Arabidopsis thaliana: one gene and its partner. The protein of the gene in region 2 interacts with the protein of the main gene of each other region in a pairwise test. Each region holds a gene or a part of one and is shown on either strand. Other genes may lie near its edges.

The links.
Region 1: the proteins of LUH (region 2) and AT1G09200 interact in a two-hybrid assay, tested with the Arabidopsis thaliana proteins (one study listed by BioGRID).

Annotation. Positions count from the first base shown.
Region 1 is NC_003070.9:2,971,041-2,974,241, forward strand, and holds AT1G09200 (Histone superfamily protein), read right to left. Parts: upstream 1,295-3,201; 5' UTR 1,093-1,294; coding exon 682-1,092; 3' UTR 531-681; downstream 1-530. Other genes in the region: AT1G09195 (Ppx-GppA phosphatase), read right to left, coding at 1-417; CRT1b (calreticulin 1b), read right to left, coding at 2,177-2,188, 2,286-2,402, 2,487-2,516, 2,678-2,725, 2,819-2,914, 3,000-3,067. UniProt on the Arabidopsis thaliana protein: Core component of nucleosome. Nucleosomes wrap and compact DNA into chromatin, limiting DNA accessibility to the cellular machineries which require DNA as a template.
Region 2 is NC_003071.7:13,864,900-13,872,679, reverse strand, and holds LUH (LEUNIG-like protein), read right to left. Parts: upstream 5,909-7,780; 5' UTR 5,754-5,908; exon of another isoform or gene 5,641-5,753; 5' UTR 5,552-5,640; intron 5,469-5,551; 5' UTR 5,446-5,468; coding exon 5,414-5,445; intron 5,340-5,413; coding exon 5,242-5,339; intron 5,155-5,241; coding exon 5,045-5,154; intron 4,964-5,044; coding exon 4,683-4,963; intron 4,588-4,682; coding exon 4,509-4,587; intron 4,406-4,508; coding exon 4,237-4,405; intron 4,049-4,236; coding exon 3,999-4,048; intron 3,914-3,998; coding exon 3,635-3,913; intron 3,164-3,634; coding exon 3,089-3,163; intron 2,970-3,088; coding exon 2,742-2,969; intron 2,564-2,741; coding exon 2,419-2,563; intron 2,338-2,418; coding exon 2,228-2,337; intron 2,087-2,227; coding exon 1,937-2,086; intron 1,855-1,936; coding exon 1,702-1,854; intron 1,626-1,701; coding exon 1,506-1,625; intron 1,305-1,505; coding exon 1,107-1,304; intron 980-1,106; coding exon 836-979; 3' UTR 523-835; and 1 more. UniProt on the Arabidopsis thaliana protein: Transcription repressor subunit of the SEU-SLK1 and SEU-SLK2 transcriptional corepressor of abiotic stress (e.g. salt and osmotic stress) response genes, by means of an epigenetic process involving histone modification (e.g.

The DNA.
Region 1 (3,201 bases), on a different chromosome or scaffold from region 2:
CACAGGTAAAAACTGAAGCACGCCTAAATAAACTAACCTGGCTTCCTCTTCACCAGAAAGCACATCGACCTTAAGCCCAACATCCTCAAAAACCGCATCCACGAACTCTTCCTGATTCTCGGCTCGCCGTAAGGCTTCCGTTGCAACGCATCGGATCCTATCACCAGAGACGTGGTGCGAGAGAATTAAACTTTTGAATTTCCGTAGAGATTGAAGCGCGCGAGCCTGAGATTGAGACGAAATTGAGGTTGGAGATTCACGAGACAACACCACTGGCTCTTTGAGTCTCTCGATTGGAACGAAAGATCTACCGGAAGGCTCAGCTTGGACTATTAGAAGCTTGAAAGAATTTGTTCCCAAATCAATGGAGGTGAAGACCTCCGATGATATAGGATTCGATAGCAGATTGGAGTTCATCTTCGATCGAATCACAACTAATTAACAATGATCTTCACAACAATTTCAGCGTCAAAGCTGATTAATTTGTGAGACTATAATGAGTTGTGAACTAGCACAAATTAACCAAACAATTAGTGATTAATAAAGTCAACTAAAAAGTCAATACTTTGATAGAACAAAAGATAATTGCTTGGAATTAATATTATAACCCTTGGATTTAACTTGAAATTTTACAATCTTATGGTTCTAATCAAAACACAAGAGTAACCAGAATACTTAGATCTAAGCTCGTTCTCCTCTGATTCTTCTCGCGAGCTGGATGTCCTTGGGCATGATCGTGACCCTCTTGGCGTGAATGGCGCAGAGATTGGTGTCTTCGAAGAGTCCGACGAGGTAAGCTTCAGCAGCTTCCTGAAGAGCGGCGACGGCACTGCTCTGGAAACGAAGATCGGTTTTGAAGTCCTGAGCGATCTCTCTGACAAGCCTCTGGAAAGGGAGTTTACGGATAAGAAGCTCAGTGCTCTTCTGGTACTTCCTGATTTCTCTTAAAGCAACAGTTCCGGGTCTGAATCTGTGTGGCTTCTTCACTCCTCCGGTGGCCGGAGCAGATTTCCTCGCCGCTTTTGTCGCCAGCTGCTTCCTTGGAGCCTTTCCTCCGGTTGATTTCCTAGCCGTCTGCTTGGTACGAGCCATGAAGTAAAATGTTATTAAGAAACTGTTTGATTTTAATTTGAAGATGAGAGAAAGTTGAGATCTGGATAGTTTGTTTCGATTGAGGAAGGGGATATTTATCGTCTGGAAATTACAAGAAGTGGGAGGGAAAATATTTCGCTTTTCTTTTTCAGCGGGATTAGATCTGGATCGTTCATTGGTTTTTAATCAACGGATATAAGAGGTTTCTATCACGATCCGCGTGAAATCACAGCAACCGTAGATTAATACAATTCTACGGACAGATTTCATTCTTTTCTAACACTGATCCGCGTGAAGGTACGAAGACCAATAGAAATAAAAGAAATAATCTAAATATATTATCTTTACCAAAAAACCAAGCCCATTACTTAATAGGGCCTGCGTAATTGTTTTTCTTTTTTTGGTTCTCAATCAGCTTTTTCTGGGCTTAAATACCATCTCAATATGCTAGGACGCTGTTTTGTATAAAGATTGTGACTTCATCTTTTGAGAATGACATCATGAATTAAAATATTGCTGTCTAAGGTTAAGGTAAAACAAAGATTGCACTGCATTCGTTCTCTAGCGTTCTAAGCATCTGTGGTTGGGGTACAATTATCTCTATATAATTTTTGTTATCTCAACATCTGTCTTCACAATGGAAGTGAACCCAGTATAAGTGTATAGACAATGTGGAAATTGTTTGGAAAGTGAAAGACATTCTACATTACTACTACTCTAGTATCAATCAACTTGCAGGGACGTTGGACTGTTGGATTATGGACTTGGTGGTCTGTATTGACTGACAAGAGACTAACAACAAATTCTCAAAGGGTGGGGAGCAGTGAACGAATACACCAGAATCCGATTTTGGCGGACATTGGCTTAGCAGAGAAACAAGAGTAGAGAAAGAGAAGCAACTGCAAAACTTCTTCATGGTTTTTTAAAGTCTAAAATGAGCATCTGACAGACATTGTATCCCCCTTTTAGTTTTGCTAAAACTTGTTTCTATCTCCGACAAACTAGATGCTAAAATACTTCAAAAGAAAACGATAAAACAATAAAGAGACTGAAAACTTTGGTCTTCAAATCTTCAACCTTTCACCTATAGCTCATCCTGCAAAACCAAATCACGCAGTTTTAACCACAACTCAAGGAAAACAACAAAATTATGGATGAGTGAAATTTCTCCAAGTGATATTGTGGTAGCATACATGAGCGGTGGCGTCTTTCTCAGAGGTTTCCTCGCTATCTACTGATTTGGTCTCCTCGGCCTTAGATTCAGAATCGGAATCATCTCCTCCTTCATCATCCTCTGGTTCGTCTTCAGCCTGGAATTTATATCACATATAATATTAGGACCTTGACAGAAACAAACAAGACTCTAAAAAATTTGATCCTTCACAAGTGCTTACATCAGATTCCGCAGGTGCGTCCTTGGATTCCTGTATCAACACAGAAAAAGGAGAATGCCGTCTTAGATTATCTATTCCCAACTTGGTTACAACAATTACATAATTGGCAGTAGAAACTCCACAAAAGTCCAAACTACTTGTTTTAGAGAGATTCAAATGAATTAAGCTAAATAATTAGGAGAGATATTTACCTCTTCCTCATTCTTCTTCTCAGCCTCATCGAAAGCTGCTTTCTCCGCCTGCAATGTGATATTAGATTGGATATTCTGATCAGTAACCAGAAACAAAAAAAAAAAAACTGTGTTATGAAATTGGGTATTTTAAACACCTACATCCTTGAGCTTTCCCCATGTTTCATCTGCCAACTTCTTGGCATAGTCTGGGTCATCGCAGATCAAGACATTGTCGAACAATGATCCTGATTTCACCTGGAAGAGTAACATGTATTAGATGAGAGTCATGGGAATAAAGCATATCTTCGAAGGTCATTCAAAGTGACAAAGATTTATTTACCTGCCACAATTCGAGTCCAACATATTTCAGCTTGGGGAAGACGTAGAGCTCTGGGTCATCCTTGAAGTCTGCGGTAATCAGTTTATTTTAGGCACACTAATTGTTTATTATTATGTCTAAGAGAGCTAAATTTTCATGTAAGTTAATGCAAGCATAAAAAACAAAAAGTTGCGAGTTCTACAGTTACATCCAAATGAACATG
Region 2 (7,780 bases):
ATTCATTCAACCACTCAACTGTTACAAAAAATAAGTTCATGTTTAAGAAAAAAGTACATTTATTTTAGACCAAAAAAAAAAAAGTACATTTATTTTAGTTTTTCCAAGTTAGACGTGTTTGTAAATTGTAAACAAACACAAACGTAACCGTGCTTTTTACTTCTCCTTATGTTTCACATTTCCGTTTTCTATATATAATATCGAGTTTTTCTTTTTTTTTGAGTTGAAAGTTAAATTTATTCAAACCCAAAAAAACTATTTTTACAATAAATGTTACAGTGATGCTGAAACAAATAATTTTGAAAGAGAGGCAGAGTCATTCAAGAAAGATGCGGTTATATTAGAAGTTCAATAAGTAACCCAGAACAAAGACAATTTAAGCCTAAGCAGATAATAAACTCATCCTTAATCCTAAGTTTTAACGTACGAGTACTTTCAATGTGCATGCTTAGAGTTTTGTATTCATCTTAAACCAACTTAATGTATGCAGTGTCATTATAAGATATTCGTAAAGAGACCTTAAAAACAAGCGTTTGGCTGATTATAAGAAATTATTATTCAACAATGTAGTTGGTCTAGAGAAATTACTTACATCTCTCTTTCACTCTAAACACTAGAGATCAAAACAACGAAGTAAAGAAGTAGGATCATTAGACAAAGATTGGAAATATCACAAGTCTCTTTGCTTTTGACATAAACAAACCCAATTTAAAAAAAAAACCAACTTATTAATGTAACATTAAAAAAAAAAAAAAAATTAGACCCAAAAAAAGTCCTGAGCTCTCTGCTATTTCTTCTTTTTTCCTTTTCTTTTCAGACGAACATAGAAATATTTCTACTTCCAAATCTTTACGGATTTGTCATGACTTGCAGACGCAACCACTCCCGTCGAAGGCGACTGAGCCAAGGCAGAGATCACACACTCGTGGCCTGCTACCGTCATACATTTGTTCTCCATTGTGTTCCACAGCTCTATAGCCTGTCACAGATTCGTTTACCAAAGTTAAAACAACTGAGAGACACATTCACCTCATCACACATTTGAACATAAGACTAGATATTGTTTGACACATTATTTGTTTGAGAAATGGGGATATAGGTTATACCTGATAGCCACCGATGACCAAGAGATCGGGATAGCTAGGGTGAAAAACAACAGAGTGGAACTTGTTTCCACTGTTGCTAAGCTCGTGGATGCAATCTCCTGAACTCAGTGACCATAATTTTACAGCGTCTTCACTAACAGACGCCACCAACTCTCCGTTTGGGCTCCAACAAACAGAATGTACATTTGAGGAATGTCCCTGCCAGATCAAAAGTAAATAAAGCCATGAGTAACGATCAACACTTACGACATCTAAACATATGCCCCAATGCATCTAACAAGAAAAATGCACTGGACTTTGAAGATTCAAAGTATTAAAAGTAAAAAACAAAGCTTTTAGTCTTTTATGTGGATTGACCCGGGGAATTCAAAAATATCAATATATCATCTTCAGCTCTACCTTAAAAATGTTGACCCGTTTGTTATTATTTTCAATATCAAAAATTGACACAGTATTTTCTGACGCTGCAGCTAAAAACTGTCCTGTTCTTGGCTGGAAACGTACTTGCGTGCTAGCCCCCTGTGCTTGGAAAATTCAACGATTAGCAAACAGAGTTCACATCCCAGAGAAACCATACAAAAGGTCAGGGGCTTGCCTTTACAGCACGAACGCAAGAGGCGTTTATGTCCCAAAAGCGAATATCATTGTTGCTATCACAGGAGCATAAAAGCTCGGTTTTCTTAGGATGAAAATCAATGGACATAACAGGTGCAGCATGACCAGAAATTGTTCGTAGGAAGTAACCAGGCTGCACAAATTGGTAGTAGTTAGTCACAGCAGAACACGAAAAATTGCAACAAATAAAAGAGAAACAAATTAAATTAGTATACATCAGAAGCATCCCAGATTTTGATTGTTTTGTCGAATGATGACGTTGCCAGTTGAGTTGAATTCGGTCTGAAGCGAACATCTGTGATGATATGAGCATGTTCTTCCGGAGTGCTCTCAACTTGTAGTGTTTCCATGTTCCATATAAATACCTACTGACAAAAATAAATTTGCATCCACATTATCTGTTTTTAAACAAACAAAATGTTACCTACCTATAAATGATCTATAGCTGTTTTAGGGCCATGACAAGTTTATAAGCAAACCGTATCTCAGAAATTAAGAAGTTGCACCTTCTTATCATGTCCAGCGCTAGCCAACAACTTCCCATCATATGAGAAGCTACAGCAAATGACCTTACTGGCACTTTTTCTTATACAACTAACCTCATTGAAACTGAAAGCTGAAACGAGAAAAAGGACCGTGTTAGTATATATTTATATCGTCTACTTGTATCATACTTATCCTTGGGGTGTTAGAATACGCTTTGAGGTTTCGGTATGCACAGAAGAGTTCCGCTTTAGGGTGCCAAACAAGCTTCCTCCGTCTCCATCATCTTGGGACAAAAATGATTCTACATTATCTTCTAGAGCTCCCACATCTCCAAACTGGTCCATGTCATCCTGCAGCTATTAATTCTTGTCATAAGAAAGCTGAAAGAAACACGGCCCCATGGGATATAAAAAAAATATTCAAGCTGCTAAGAAAGCACTTGTTTCACACAACACAACTGCATGCTGTATCCAGATGTTATTGGAGGAAAACTAGATTGTCGTTATCATTCTTCTGAGAAATTAAGAAACATACCAGTTGATTTGCTGATGATGCAAGACCACCGATCCCATCAGAACCATACATCATTGGCCCTTTTGGCATGCTATTCACATGGTGCATGTTACCAGCTATAGCAACTCCATCAACAGGGGTATGCGTTGACGGAGTCGATGGCTGTGAGTTGGATGGGCCAACAGTGTTTCCTGTCCCTGTGCTGTTAGCAGGACCAGAAGAGGAAGGCCCTTTTCTTTTGCGGTTGTTCTATCAGATACACGAAAAGGAAGTTGTGGCTCAATCATCTCAGACACTAAAGAATATATTCAGTTGGTTAAAACCACATGCTTGATAAGACTTGAGGGATTGGATCCACATAAAAGTACCTGTTGTGATTGCTGGGATAGTAAGTGATCTTGTTGCTGAGAAGAAGATTGCTGTACTGGCGGCATGCTGATATGCTATAGACCAACAAGCAACGGAAAGAGAGAAAATCAGAAGAAAAAAATGTGATTGATAAAATTTTAGCAGTAAAGTCCCCATGTTTGGTAGTAATCAGCTACTAATTGCGGATAAGTTTTCTCTATTATTGGGTTCATGTGGTTAACAAGAAAAAACAAAATTCTGATACCTATGTAGATCTACATTAGGATAACACAAACACATTACCTTACACATTTTCCAAATGGAAAGTATAGCAGTCAGACGATAACCCAAAAGAGTACAATTTTAAAGCATAGACGAGCAATTATCAGAAAAAATGCATAGAAGGACAGACGTAATGATCCAATTACACCACTTAACGGAACACAGAAAAAATGAGATGCTTCATTTTTTCTCTGCTACCCGAAAAAGATGATATAATGCAGCTCAACAGATTCCACTGCATCCAACAGGGATATGCATTTATTGGTAATTTGAGAAAGTCTTACCTTTGACGAACTTGACTGCATGGGGGACCCTATAGATCCATCATTTGCATTTTGTTGGCCATCTTTCGGATTAAGGTTTCCTCTAGGTAATCCTGTAAATCTTCGAGGGTCCATGTCACCACCATACATGGGTGAATTAGTCATATTTCCTTGCGCTTGAACCTGAGCCAACATCTGATGTTGTTGCTGCTGCGGCGAGAGCTGAAATTGACTTTGATTTTGTAGAAAAGATTTCTGAACCTGAGGGCCTCCTAAACCTGGTCGCATCTGCTCGATGCCCTGTAACATTTGTCAAGAAACTTAGCAAAATACTGGGCTTGGAATGACAAACAAATAAATTCTTAGAAGAACCACAGAGACTTACAGTTAATGGCCATCCCTTTAAAGGAAGACCACTCACTCCAGGGTTTAATCCTTCACAAGGGACAAACACAACACCATAAGAATTTATACAAATTGTAAGCAAAAGATTCTCGTGATGCCATTAGCATATCACCCTATGTAATTCATCATGATTTTGCACATAACAGGGAAGTAATATTTAAATTTTGGAGTCCATAGTCAACTAATTGCCATAGAAGGCATACTACCACGTATTTTACCACCATTTTCTTTTCGGTGAGCGATTACTCTACAATGCAATACATTGATATATTTACCTGCACTCCCCATCCCAGGCTTTGATTGCAGAATTCCCTGGCCATAAACTGTAGAAGGATCCACTGGCAGTTGTCTTGGAGATGTACCCAAATTAACTTCAGTTTTGATTTCCTGCACGTACAAGAGATTCAGATGTACACCAAAATATCTGATTGGAGACTTGTCTGTTAGAAAATTTGAACAGTATAAAGTAAGGTGCTCGAGTAGTAGTTACAGTGGGCTGCTGAGTTCGTGATTGAATTTGCTGCAGCGCTGCCGAAACACCTCCTTGATGGTTTCCTTGGACAATCTGACTGTTTAGGGACAGAAAAAAAAAGAAAGGACAACAAGGGGTCAGAGGTATGAGGACTAGAAAAACGACAGCAAAAAAGAAGCTGAGCCAATTTACCCATGATGGTTTGTTGCTGATTTAAGAAGGGCCATCCTTGCATCAAGATGAGGTTGGGATGTCTCAGAATTCATAGGATTAGGCTGCTTCATGCGTTCCTCGTACATTTTAGCAGCCAAAGCACTAGCATTAGACTGCCCAATCATCCCTTCAGAACCAATAGCATTCATTGGACCGCCAAGAGAAGGATGATTAGGGTCCCTACGCTGCATTTGAGCTTGGCGCATCATCTGCAGTTGCTGTATTTGCATTTGCTGCTCCTTCGCTTTACCTTGTTGTGCCTAAAATTTCAAAACCACTGGTCAGTTACGTAATTCAAAACTAACAAAACATATTCCCAGATGTTAGTAGAAGACATTCACCTCTATATAAGCTGCAGCAGCCTCTGAATGCTTCTCATTCGTCCTTGCAATGAAAATGTCCCAAAACACAGACCACCACTCAAAAAGAAACCCTCCAGGTGCATCAATTGCTAATCATTCACACAACAAAAAACAATTACATATCAAAACTTAAAATTAAGAAAGAACAAAGTGGAACAAAGAAAGTGTAATATTACCAACTGGATCAGGAGAAACCTTCCCTTCAGTCATAAACGACTTAGCAGTATTATGAAGTTTCTTCTTCACCAAATAATCATATATGTAAACATCAAGCCTACAAAAACACAAAGATATCAAAGTAAGGAATTGAAAAAAAATAAGCTTTTATTGAATACAAAATTAACTTACATCTTGTCAGCTTCCCAATTACTCTGAGCCATAGCTTCAGCCCAAGATCGAGCTGCTATAAAAGGAATTCAAATCTTCAATCCAAAGAAATGATATGAACTCAGAATAATTCGATTGTTTTAATAAACAGACACTAACCTGAATAAAAGCCCAAACAAATAAATATCAAGTAGATCAGAACCCTAATTCGATCTTCAGATATCAGTAAATTTAAAGATCAAGCATTGCTGCTACACATACAGAGAAAATATAAAGAAATCGACAAGGTTAAATTGCTTATACGCGAACATGACTTTTGGAATTCGTTGAATTGATATAGAAAGTAATCGAATTCACATACCTGACGGATCACAATTGAAAAGGAAAAAAAAGAATCTAGGGTTCTTGAGAGATTACAGTGAATTGTAATCAGCTGTAAGTTAAGAGTAAATCGATCATGAAACAGCTGGAAGAGAGAGATAGATCAGATTGATGAGTTTGGAGAGATCATCGGATGTTTGGTTTGATGCTTAGCTTTAGGATTCGATGAAAAAGTTTATTCATGGGCTTCGATATTTGGACCTAGTTATGGGCTTACTTTTGGGCCTGTGATTGACTTTTAATCTAAAGTCAACTCGAAGGTAGGCCGAAATTTCTCTTGAATCGTTAGAGCAGCCAATTCATGGTTTCTAAACAGAGTGAAAAAATTTATTATAAAAAAAAGTGTAGGTTTTTTTATTAGTAAAGAAATTATTTTCAAAGTACGCAATGCTATGTCAAGATAAATGGTTCATACTTCATGTAGCTACACTCAATAATACATTGGAAAAAATGTCAAAAAAATTGCCAACTTTGAAAAATGGGATGAAAAATCACCAACTCCTGAAATGTCGTTTTAATCACATACTTTTGATTGAGTTCTTTAGAAAGATAACAGAGCAAAGTTTTGTTGATTACGAATCTTTGCTTTATTATCTTTCTGGAAAAGTCAACCAAAAGTATATGATTTAAATGACATTTCAGGAGTTGGCGATTTTTTTGTCCCATTTTTAAAAGTTGGCGATTTTTTTAACATTTTTCCCATAATACATTCATTATTCTACCGTATTTAATCTTCTAGTTATAGCTTACGAATGGTTCAAAATGAAAACTTGCGTCAAATACTAGTTCTTTCTTTTTGGGCAAACTCGTGAAATATGTTTGTATTTTGAGGGTGAGATTTGACCTTATAAACTGATCACTGCATATGTTTTATGAAACTAATTCAAATTCTAAATAGAAAATAAGAACTAATTAAAATCCTTTAACTAGAGGTCTGTAACCAAAAGATTGCATGCATATTCTCAATAGAACCAATCTAATTTTTTTACAAAAAAAAAATGCATAGGATATTCATTTGGCACTTAATTTGAAGTTTTAGTACTTTATGATGTGAAATGAACAATCCACACTTGTAGTGTTATGAAGTATTAAACGTATTTCTTAAATTTCTTACTAACAAGTTAGCCCTAGATTAACTAGTTAAATATTCTTGTTAAGCCTCGTTTTTTTTTCAAATCACTAGTTGACTTTAAAATTTAAGTCCCAACCATTATTCTAACAACAAACAGTCCAAATTAAATAAAAGATTACATTCACAGCTCAAACCAGTCAACCTCAAATTTTTAATAATCTAAATCTATGTGGGTGATGCATGTATAATGTATAAGCCTATCTGTTTTTCTTTATTTGTTAGTTTGGAAAATGAAAGGTTTAATATGTGTTTGGTTTGAGCCATTAATGACATAATAAATGAGATCACTTTTTTTTCACTAAATGAGATCACATTTAGGGCTTGAATAATGCAAAAGAGCCCTCATATTATTAATGGCTTTGTAGTAGACATGTCCTTCAACTATAAAAGGAAAAATAAAACAGCCACGATTATAAACTTTTGTTTTTTTGATAACGACACAATTTATTCATTTATGGTACGTCTTTTATGAAAATACACTAAAAGAGAAACACACTGTTCTTTTTGCTATAAATCCATGGAAGGTTGATTTATGAGGAATCATATACATATGGTGAACTGATGATTGCATTCTACGAATATGATCAGTCTGGTTTTTAGAACATGAACCAATTATTATTATTTGACAAAGTACATGAACCAATTGTAGTATATATTTTCATCAATTTCAGGTTTTTTCACCATCGGCGCCCACTAGAATCGTTTGCTCATTTTCTTAATCGGAAATAAGATATACATTTCATTTCATGTGCATATATATATACATCGATATTATTTATTTATTGAATTCATCAAATGTACATTGATTTCATTTTTATTGTTATGTTGGATGAGATCAACTGGGCAGTTGGCAGACATAAATAAATTGTCCTATG